Arabidopsis thaliana: one gene and its partner. The protein of the gene in region 1 interacts with the protein of each later gene in a pairwise test. Each region holds a gene or a part of one and is shown in the gene's direction. Other genes may lie near its edges.

What was found.
Region 2: the proteins of IAA5 (region 1) and ARF4 interact in a two-hybrid assay, tested with the Arabidopsis thaliana proteins (2 studies listed by BioGRID).

Annotation. Positions count from the first base shown.
Region 1 is NC_003070.9:5,364,974-5,368,238, reverse strand, and holds IAA5 (indole-3-acetic acid inducible 5), read left to right. Parts: upstream 1-1,741; 5' UTR 1,742-1,778; coding exon 1,779-2,124; intron 2,125-2,241; coding exon 2,242-2,326; intron 2,327-2,414; coding exon 2,415-2,475; 3' UTR 2,476-2,727; downstream 2,728-3,265. Other genes in the region: AT1G15590 (E3 ubiquitin-protein ligase), read right to left, coding at 7-34, 276-401, 480-865; CYCA2;3 (CYCLIN A2;3), read right to left, coding at 3,021-3,074, 3,170-3,265. UniProt on the Arabidopsis thaliana protein: Aux/IAA proteins are short-lived transcriptional factors that function as repressors of early auxin response genes at low auxin concentrations.
Region 2 is NC_003076.8:24,307,729-24,314,529, reverse strand, and holds ARF4 (auxin response factor 4), read left to right. Parts: upstream 1-1,745; 5' UTR 1,746-2,342; coding exon 2,343-2,717; intron 2,718-2,859; coding exon 2,860-2,916; intron 2,917-3,178; coding exon 3,179-3,364; intron 3,365-3,462; coding exon 3,463-3,547; intron 3,548-3,630; coding exon 3,631-3,721; intron 3,722-3,844; coding exon 3,845-4,006; intron 4,007-4,103; coding exon 4,104-4,223; intron 4,224-4,305; coding exon 4,306-4,381; intron 4,382-4,480; coding exon 4,481-4,646; intron 4,647-4,747; coding exon 4,748-5,436; intron 5,437-5,530; coding exon 5,531-5,721; intron 5,722-5,803; coding exon 5,804-5,972; 3' UTR 5,973-6,275; downstream 6,276-6,801. UniProt on the Arabidopsis thaliana protein: Auxin response factors (ARFs) are transcriptional factors that bind specifically to the DNA sequence 5'-TGTCTC-3' found in the auxin-responsive promoter elements (AuxREs). Could act as transcriptional activator or repressor.

The DNA of each region.
Region 1 (3,265 bases):
ACAAATCTACCTCCTATACCTTCCCTTACAGAATCTACATCATTTGATTTCAACTTATCCACATCATAGATATGAGAAAAAAATGTTCCAAACTCTAGTGAACATTAAGCGAAAAAAATACCTGCGCATAATAGTAATGCATATGCAAATCTAATGCAACTGAAAGCAATGAAGACTACACATAACCTGCCAAAACATAATCAAGAAGACAAAAGTTAGTACTGATTAGTTAGGGTTTAACTAAATCTCTACTGTGACATGATTGTGAGTCAAACCTGTAGAGCTTAGGAGTATCAGAAGAAGATGAGTGTCCATAACAAATCCATAGAATCCCCATAACTAACCACACAACAAAGAAACATTCATTCCCCATCTTCAAAGCATCCATTACCCTATCCGTTCTGCCACCAACAACGGTTCGGTTTGATTTAGCTAATTAAACTCTTAATGTTAAGTGAAACAAGTGTTGTTTATTATACCTCGTTTTTGAGTAAACACCAATTCGGTTGTATTTGCGGACACACGAGAGGAGAATAAGGAGCGTAATGGTAATACAGCCACAAGTGTAACCGATGACCCATGTTAACAAAAGTGCTTGTTGATGTTCATCTTTTGCCAGAGTTAAAACTATTAATGATGCAACAATCTGAACCAAAGTGACTACTAATTCCATTATATTCCAAAGACTACCACAGTCTCTCGTAGATGAACTTGCACCTTCATCTGACGATTCGTCATCCGTAGACAGAGACGAACTTAATGAAGGATAGCTTCTCTCGTCCAAAGACGATCTTGATGAAGAATCTTCATCGTTTGTAATGTCGATTATGTGATCATCATTATCACTGTGGGATTCGCTGTCCATTATCACAAAGTCTTGTTGTGTTATTCATTGGCTAAAGCCAGCCGACAATATATTATACGCAATTCTACATGATCAATCGAAAACTAGAAATTGTGTACAAGGAAATTTGACTAATCTAGCTTATCTATCAACATGTGAACATTCCAAAAATGTACTATTGGAGATACAAAGATATGGAAATATCTATGAAAAATGGAAATATATCCCGTAATTGATATTTTGATCAGTTCTGTTTCTATTTCGTAACAAATAATGACAAAAGTATGGTGTACATGTGTAGATTACGTATGATGTAATGAAAGTATCGGGCACATGTGTGAATAGCAGAAACAAGATATATGACGAAAACGTAGATGCATTTTTTTCTTTGAAATTATGTATGCACTGTGTAGTGTGTTACGTGTAGAAAAAAATGAAATAATATAATAACTTGTCTTAGCCTTGAGTAACACGTGTTCGGTTGTCGAGAAACATAAATATACGTAGATTTTAAAGTGCACTAATATATATTCGACCATGAATATGTTGTTTTATTATTATGTCGTTGATTAAAAGAATGGGATACAGACATAACAAATCACACATAACATGGGATGTCTAATAGAAAGTAACGTGTTTCTGATCCAACGGCTGAGAAAGAAACCCTACTTTGTCGGTAACAAAATCGTGGCCGTCCAGTGTGTCGAACCAACGGATCCATATTATCGACATTTAAACACGAAGCGGCAAAGGAATGAAAAAACATGACATAAAAATTTCGACAAGATCTTCGAATGGGGCCGACAAGATAAATCAATGCTAAACAAGCTTGTCTCAAACGCCATCGTTTATGTTCCCATGAGAACATATAAAGTGGCAACAGAATAAAGTTCAAACACATTAACACCAATACTTTCAATCAAAAACATCAAAGATGGCGAATGAGAGTAATAATCTTGGACTCGAAATCACCGAACTACGGCTAGGTCTTCCCGGAGATATCGTCGTCTCCGGTGAGTCCATCTCCGGGAAGAAGAGGGCTTCTCCGGAAGTAGAGATTGATTTGAAATGTGAACCGGCGAAAAAGAGTCAAGTTGTGGGTTGGCCACCGGTTTGTTCGTACCGGAGAAAGAACAGTCTCGAACGGACCAAAAGTTCGTACGTGAAAGTGAGTGTAGATGGAGCTGCATTTTTAAGGAAGATTGATTTGGAAATGTACAAATGTTACCAAGATCTTGCTTCCGCTCTGCAAATTCTGTTCGGATGCTATATCAATTTTGGTTAGTTTATGTTTCTATATATAGTATATATTTTTGGTTTTAGTCTTTACTTATCAAGGCAACTAATGATCCAAAACATCGATATTAACTTTATAATCTTTATATATGAAAATGAAGATGATACGTTGAAGGAAAGTGAATGTGTACCAATATATGAAGACAAAGATGGAGATTGGATGCTTGCTGGAGATGTTCCTTGGGAGTAAGTTTCTAGCGACCTCTATAACATTCAAATTTACTTTCTTTTATTTAATTGATATCTAATAAATTATGAAACTATTTGTGTGCAGAATGTTCCTTGGATCGTGCAAGAGGTTAAGGATTATGAAGAGATCATGTAACAGAGGATGAATGATATTTATAGTCACATGTGAATGTGAGTGAGCCTTACAGATATCTAAATATACATTTTTGCAGTTACTCAATATTTCTCTTCGGAAGTCTAAGATTTCCGAAATTTCTGTAGAAGTTGTTTTCTTTGACATAGTTCATTCATCTTTATCTTTTGGTCACTGGACTAAAGTCTAGAGGCGGTTCTTATAAGCTACTGCATGACAGTTCAATATCAACAATCAATGAAATTTGAAATATAAATACTTAAACCTACTTCATATCAGAAAACTGATATGAAAATTCCGAATCTGTTTACATTGCCTCAAGATGGGAGAAAAATGTACATTCTCGTTACAATAAAAAAAACTCTAGGTACCGATTAGATGTTCCCGGGTTTGGAAGAACCAAACCACGGATCAAACTAGGCTAAACCGAATTCTAATCAGGTATTAGATGAGTGGGACTGTGGAAATTCTGTTTTATGAACAAAGAGTAACAGATGAATGAAAACGAAATTGGACCATCAATGTGACAAAACTATTATCGGTTAGGAGTTGAAACCTTCAGAATAGCGTGTCAAGTAGCTTTGGAGACGTGAGAACCGCCACAGATTTGTACTGCAAATCCATAATAAGTCTTATGAGAATCAAGGAAACCAAACTAAAGTTATACCAAACAGGTTTTAGTATGTGGTTTTAACTGATAAGCTTACTTTCTCTTGCCTATACTTCATGCGTATAGCGCTCAAGGGGCAACCTTTGGTGTTAAGCTGCAGATCTTGTAAGGCATGAACAGATGCTTTCAGATC
Region 2 (6,801 bases), on another chromosome or scaffold:
GCAAACTAATATTATATGAGCAAAAATACATGTTACTAGATTTTAACCCGCGGTACACCGCGGACACAGTTCATTTTTAAAAATTAATATATATAAAAATTTGTAAATTATTTTATAGTTTACCATTGTTACTAAGTAACGTCCTGCCAAACCCGTCCTGCCAAACCCGTCCACAAAAAAAAACTATTTATTTTATTAATGTTGATCTTATTTATAATATGTTTATGAATCATTGTCAAAATATTTTAGTCGTTGCGGGACGTTGTACCCACACATTTTTCGCCAATTGGTTAATATATGTTCATTCTTAAAATTTCGAATTACAAAATATGACGAAATTTTTTTTGAGATTTTTTTAAACTTTATATATTATATAATGATGTTAATTATTTTTGATAGATTAAACTTTTTATAAATTCAAATATTAATAATGTTTTATGAAGTTTAAATATACAAATAATAATATTTAAAAAATTAATATTTTTTGCCTTTTAGGTAAATGATATAATAACTCTAAAAGCAAAATTTAAAAGATTTAAATCTTTAAATAAATATTTTCATGCCTAAATAATTAATGTCAGTAGCATGACATTGTAAATAAGTTCAAATACATGATTTGTTTATTTAAACAAAAAATATTTAGTAAGAACAATATTTATTTAAACAAAAAATTTTGTTAATAAAATACGTTTATGCTAATTTTAAGGGATTGATGTGAAGTTTGTTTGGATTAAATTTGATTGATAATGTGATTGACAATTTAAATTAAAAATTTAAAGTAAAATTAATTATTTTGAAAAAAAGATTTAATGCTAATGGCATTGGGTTGTAAATAAGTTCAACTCTAAGATTTATTTGCTAAAATGACTGCAAAAATGTATATATAAATGTTTTCAAATTATGAAGCAATCATTTGGACCATCAAATATATTTTATTTATTTTTACTAAACCCATTTGAAGATATTTATCCAATAAGTAGTAAGTATTTGAGTAGTTTTATTTTACTGAAAGAGTCGGTGTGGTTATTGAAGTATAAATTTTATATTACAGACCGCTGAAAGTTTTTTTTAGTTGATTAGGTTTTTAAACACAGACAGTACTTTAGTTAATCAATAACAAAATGCTGATTTTCATATTGTTTGTCTCAGAAAAAGAGAGAAAAAGTGCTTTTGTTACAAAATCGAAAGGAGCCTACTCTTCTGTCTTTAGCCGGTTGGTTGGCTCTTAACAACGCAATGAAAAAGCATTTTTTCTAATAAATCGAAAACAAATAAAAATTCATAACATAAAAAAAGAAAGAACAAAGAAAGATTCCAAAGAGATACTGTTTCCTTTGTAAGAGTATGCAAAGAAAAAGCTAATCAATTTGCGGTTTTTATTCCTCACAACTCACACAAGTTAAAGAAAATTATGGTGTGAATGAGAAAAACAAAGGGTTACGTCAATTTCGTAATACCATAAATCCAATAGATGCATATAAACTTTGATGGTTCATTTTGAGTGAATAGTCTAGTATGAATAATTAAACGATTGATTCATCGATGGTTTGACGTATTTAAAAAACAGTTGATTTTGAAGAAAACAATCTAGACAATGGATTGAATTAGTCTTATTAGCACCTAATTAAACTTTTAACATTTCTTCTTTCAACAAAAAGGACGAAAATCAAAAACGGTAATAATTAGCAAAAAAGTGAAAACTTTTATTTTGTGTAAACGTGTGTATATTGACACAAATATAGTTTTTATATATAAAATTTCATGTGAATAAATAAGTCTTTATTGGGAAACAAAAACAAAAAAGAGAGAAGAAGAGGAAGAAGAAGAAGAAGGAGAAAGGGAGAGTGTAGGTGTGGGTTCTGTTCTGTCTTGGCTTTGTCTCCCCCGCTTATCTCTCCCTCTCTTTCTCTCTCTCTCTCTCTTTCCACTAAATTGTTTTTTTTTTGCTCTTTAAAAAGTATATTTTTTTCCAATCTGCAAATTTTAGTCTATGTCTGTTCCTTGTGCTCCCTCTTCTCAGTACCTGCAAATGGAGGAAGAAGAATCCTTCTCTGAAACCCTTGTTCTCATTTGATTCCTCCTTCCTCTCTCTTCTTCTCTCTCTGTCTCTGATTCGTTATTCCACACTTATGACTCATCTTTCCCGTCAATAGCTAAGTTTGCCTCTTCTTTGTGAAATTTAGCTGAAAAAGGAGAGGAATTCCGAATTCTGTCACTTCAAAGCTCGAATTTTGCAAACTTTCCTTTGATGGGTTTTACTTGTTTTGTTGTAATCTGATTAAAAATAGAAACTTTTTGTTTTCTTCTTGTCTCCTTTTGCTCTTAAAAGAGAAGCTTTTTCAATGGAATTTGACTTGAATACTGAGATTGCGGAGGTGGAAGAGGAGGAGAATGATGATGTAGGAGTAGGAGTAGGAGGAGGAACAAGAATTGACAAGGGTAGGCTTGGAATTTCACCATCTTCTTCTTCTTCATGCTCTTCCGGATCATCATCGTCATCATCTTCTACAGGCTCTGCATCTTCCATTTACTCTGAGCTTTGGCATGCTTGTGCTGGTCCTCTCACTTGTCTTCCCAAGAAAGGCAATGTAGTTGTCTATTTCCCTCAAGGTCATTTGGAGCAAGATGCTATGGTTTCATATTCGTCTCCTCTTGAAATCCCCAAATTTGACCTTAATCCCCAAATCGTCTGCAGGGTGGTTAATGTCCAGTTGCTTGTAAGTCTGTCTGTATCACTCTACCCAAATAAAGAACATTCCTTTTGTGTTCTATTTTACTATTCTTGAACAAGTTCTGTTTTCTTTCTCTAATTGTGGTAATTGTTTGCAAACTTGGTTCCTTCTTTTGGGGAAACAAAAGGCTAATAAGGACACCGATGAGGTCTACACTCAAGTCACTCTGCTTCCACTTCAAGAGGTACTCTCTTTTACTCAAACTTGTTGCTTTTTTGACAATTCAATTGATTTTTGATATCACTAGTGTAATTCCAGATTCTAGGTGTGATTTTAGATGCTACGGTTTAAAGAGATTGTGAATAATCTTGTTTGTTCTCTAAGTGACTCAAACTCATCATTGGTTTAACAGGATCAGAGGAATCACTGAAACCGTTGGTCTTGTTGAGTTTCATTTATAATCTCTGTGATGTTAAGATGCTGAAGTAACTTCTTGGTTTTTATAGTTTTCGATGCTAAATGGGGAGGGGAAAGAGGTCAAGGAGTTAGGAGGGGAGGAAGAGAGGAACGGAAGCTCATCCGTCAAGCGGACACCTCATATGTTCTGTAAAACCTTAACAGCGTCTGACACAAGCACACATGGAGGCTTCTCTGTACCTAGAAGAGCCGCTGAAGATTGTTTTGCTCCTCTTGTATAATTCTCTATATCTCATTTCCTTATTTTTTTTTTTAAGGAGAGGTTTTATCTTCTTGTTATAAGCCTTATTTGTGAATTTTCCACTGGTGTTAGGACTACAAACAACAGAGGCCATCTCAAGAGCTCATTGCAAAGGACCTCCATGGAGTAGAGTGGAAGTTTCGCCATATCTATAGAGGTGGTTTTGAGTTTGTTATTATTCGTTTCTTTTTTCTTCGTCAGTGAAACCAAAATGTTTAGTTCTGTCTCTTTTTAATATAGGTCAACCAAGGAGGCATCTACTCACCACTGGTTGGAGTATCTTTGTCAGTCAAAAGAATCTCGTCTCTGGTGATGCGGTTCTCTTTCTGAGGTAATCGTAAGATTTCAGTTTATCAAATGGTGATGTAGATTCATGGTGTTTCCCTCTGCTTTGGTGGTTTGAAGCCCTTGATCCAATAATGTTTACATTCATTACTAATATCGGCGTTTATAGAGACGAAGGAGGAGAGCTGAGATTAGGAATCAGAAGAGCAGCACGGCCAAGAAATGGACTTCCTGACTCAATCATTGAGAAGAATTCATGTTCAAACATTCTGTCTCTTGTGGCTAATGCTGTATCTACAAAAAGCATGTTTCATGTGTTCTACAGTCCACGGTGAGATAAAAATGAAAAGCTGCCATTCGTAATGATTCTTAACTAGGTTCAGTAAGAAATAAAGAACTATAATGTTGATTTGTGGATTTATATACAGAGCGACGCATGCAGAGTTTGTGATTCCTTATGAGAAGTATATCACAAGCATCAGGAGTCCTGTTTGCATAGGCACAAGATTTAGAATGCGATTTGAAATGGACGATTCTCCTGAGAGAAGGTATTGTTTCTTTCTTGCTTCTTTCTCTGTGTTGTGTAGCTAATATTGTTGGACGAGAATTTATATTCGATCTTTCTTGCAGATGCGCTGGTGTAGTGACTGGAGTCTGTGACTTGGACCCGTATAGGTGGCCAAACTCTAAATGGAGGTGCTTGTTGGTGCGTCCTCTCATCTTTTTGGAGTATCTGTCTATTAACGTGTAGAAGACTTTTCATTTTCGAAGATTGATATCTAAATCTTTCACATTTGTTTGGCAGGTGCGATGGGATGAGTCTTTTGTGAGTGATCATCAAGAAAGAGTTTCACCTTGGGAGATTGATCCCTCGGTTTCTCTCCCACACTTGAGCATTCAGTCATCTCCAAGGCCTAAAAGGCCATGGGCAGGTTTACTGGATACTACCCCACCCGGAAACCCCATAACAAGTAAATTATATAGACCTCTCTTCTCTTTGGAGTATATGCTTTTGCAAACAGTTCTCAATTTTCATCAGTATATTATTGATAACTGTTCTTGGTTGCAGCAGAAAGGGGTGGTTTTTTGGACTTTGAGGAGTCGGTTAGACCCTCTAAGGTCTTGCAAGGTCAAGAAAATATAGGTTCTGCATCACCCTCACAGGGGTTTGATGTTATGAACCGCCGGATACTGGATTTTGCGATGCAGTCTCATGCAAATCCAGTTCTTGTGTCGAGTAGAGTCAAGGATCGATTTGGTGAGTTTGTAGATGCTACTGGCGTGAACCCAGCTTGTTCAGGTGTTATGGACCTGGATAGGTTTCCAAGGGTCTTGCAAGGTCAAGAAATTTGCTCGCTTAAATCATTCCCGCAATTTGCTGGTTTCAGTCCAGCTGCTGCTCCTAATCCCTTTGCTTACCAAGCCAACAAGTCAAGTTACTATCCGCTAGCTTTGCATGGGATTAGGAGCACTCATGTTCCGTATCAGAATCCATACAATGCGGGAAACCAATCCTCGGGTCCCCCTTCACGTGCAATAAACTTTGGTGAAGAGACTAGAAAGTTTGATGCACAAAATGAAGGTGGCCTACCAAATAATGTTACAGCTGATTTGCCATTCAAGATTGATATGATGGGAAAACAGAAAGGCAGTGAGTTGAATATGAATGCTTCATCAGGATGTAAACTTTTCGGATTCTCCTTACCAGTGGAGACACCTGCATCTAAGCCGCAAAGCTCGAGCAAAAGAATCTGTACAAAGGTAAAACGTTTTCTTTATCATCTCTTTGGCTACTTTGAGTTGCAGTTTTAGATGTCTCTTCTAATCAGTTCTTGTGTTGAATTGTTATCAAAAGGTTCACAAGCAAGGAAGCCAAGTGGGGAGAGCTATTGATTTGTCGCGACTTAACGGGTATGATGATCTCCTTATGGAGCTTGAACGGCTGTTCAACATGGAAGGGCTTCTCAGGGATCCTGAAAAAGGATGGAGGATCTTATATACTGATAGTGAGAACGATATGATGGTCGTTGGCGATGATCCATGGCAGTAAGTTCTTTATACATACCTTCTAAAGGTCAATCACAACTTCTTTTCTCCTAACTTGAAATTGGCTTTCTGCTATGGATAGTGATTTCTGCAATGTGGTGTGGAAGATACACTTATACACGAAAGAGGAAGTGGAGAATGCGAATGACGATAACAAGAGTTGTTTAGAGCAAGCTGCTCTCATGATGGAAGCATCAAAGTCATCTTCTGTGAGCCAGCCTGATTCTTCTCCTACAATCACTAGGGTTTGATACCCATAAAGAAGCTTATTTCCTATGTTTTAAAGTGTGTTTTGCTCACAAAAGAACTTCAACTTTATCTTTGTCTTTGAATCCATTTATGTGTTTGTTTGTGTTTCTTCTGGTCTCCATGGATGTCTCATGTGTACCGTTTTACTCGAGAGATATGTGAGTTTATGGGATGTGTAAAGCATGCCATTGGATTTTAAGGTTTTCAAAATTACAATATATATATTAGTTTTGAAGTATTTTGCTTGATTTTGAAAATTTCATTTCTTAAGTTCTTACATATGTGGATACTCTTGTATTGTTCTTACAATTTTTTTATTTATTTTTAGATTGATATCTAATACATACTAGATATTTGATGATGATTTAATCTTTTTTAAGGAAAATAAATATTAGAGTATACTGCACGGATTAATTAAATAGAATGATGTGACATAGATTTAGCCTTTTTTTCAACTAAAAGTTAACCTTAATTTTATTATATTTTCCTTAAATTTAACATTAATTTTATTATATTTTCTATATTAGAATTAGATTTTTATCATTTTAGGAATATTTCACAATATCTGTATTTCATCATTATAAGGAATGAAATTAGAGGGAAAGCCATTGTAATGCTGTCATTTCATTTTTTACAATGTACCAAAATATGTGGGATAATGTATGTACTATTTTAGTTGAAAAATGGTGCACACAGAAATTTTCATTATGCTTTTTTGCAAATTTATTTTAAAATAGTACATGATTGATTATGATTATTACCTTTCTGTGTTTAAAATTCTGCAATTGCCCAAAATGCGTAAACGTAACCATGGCAGACTAGTATTTTCAG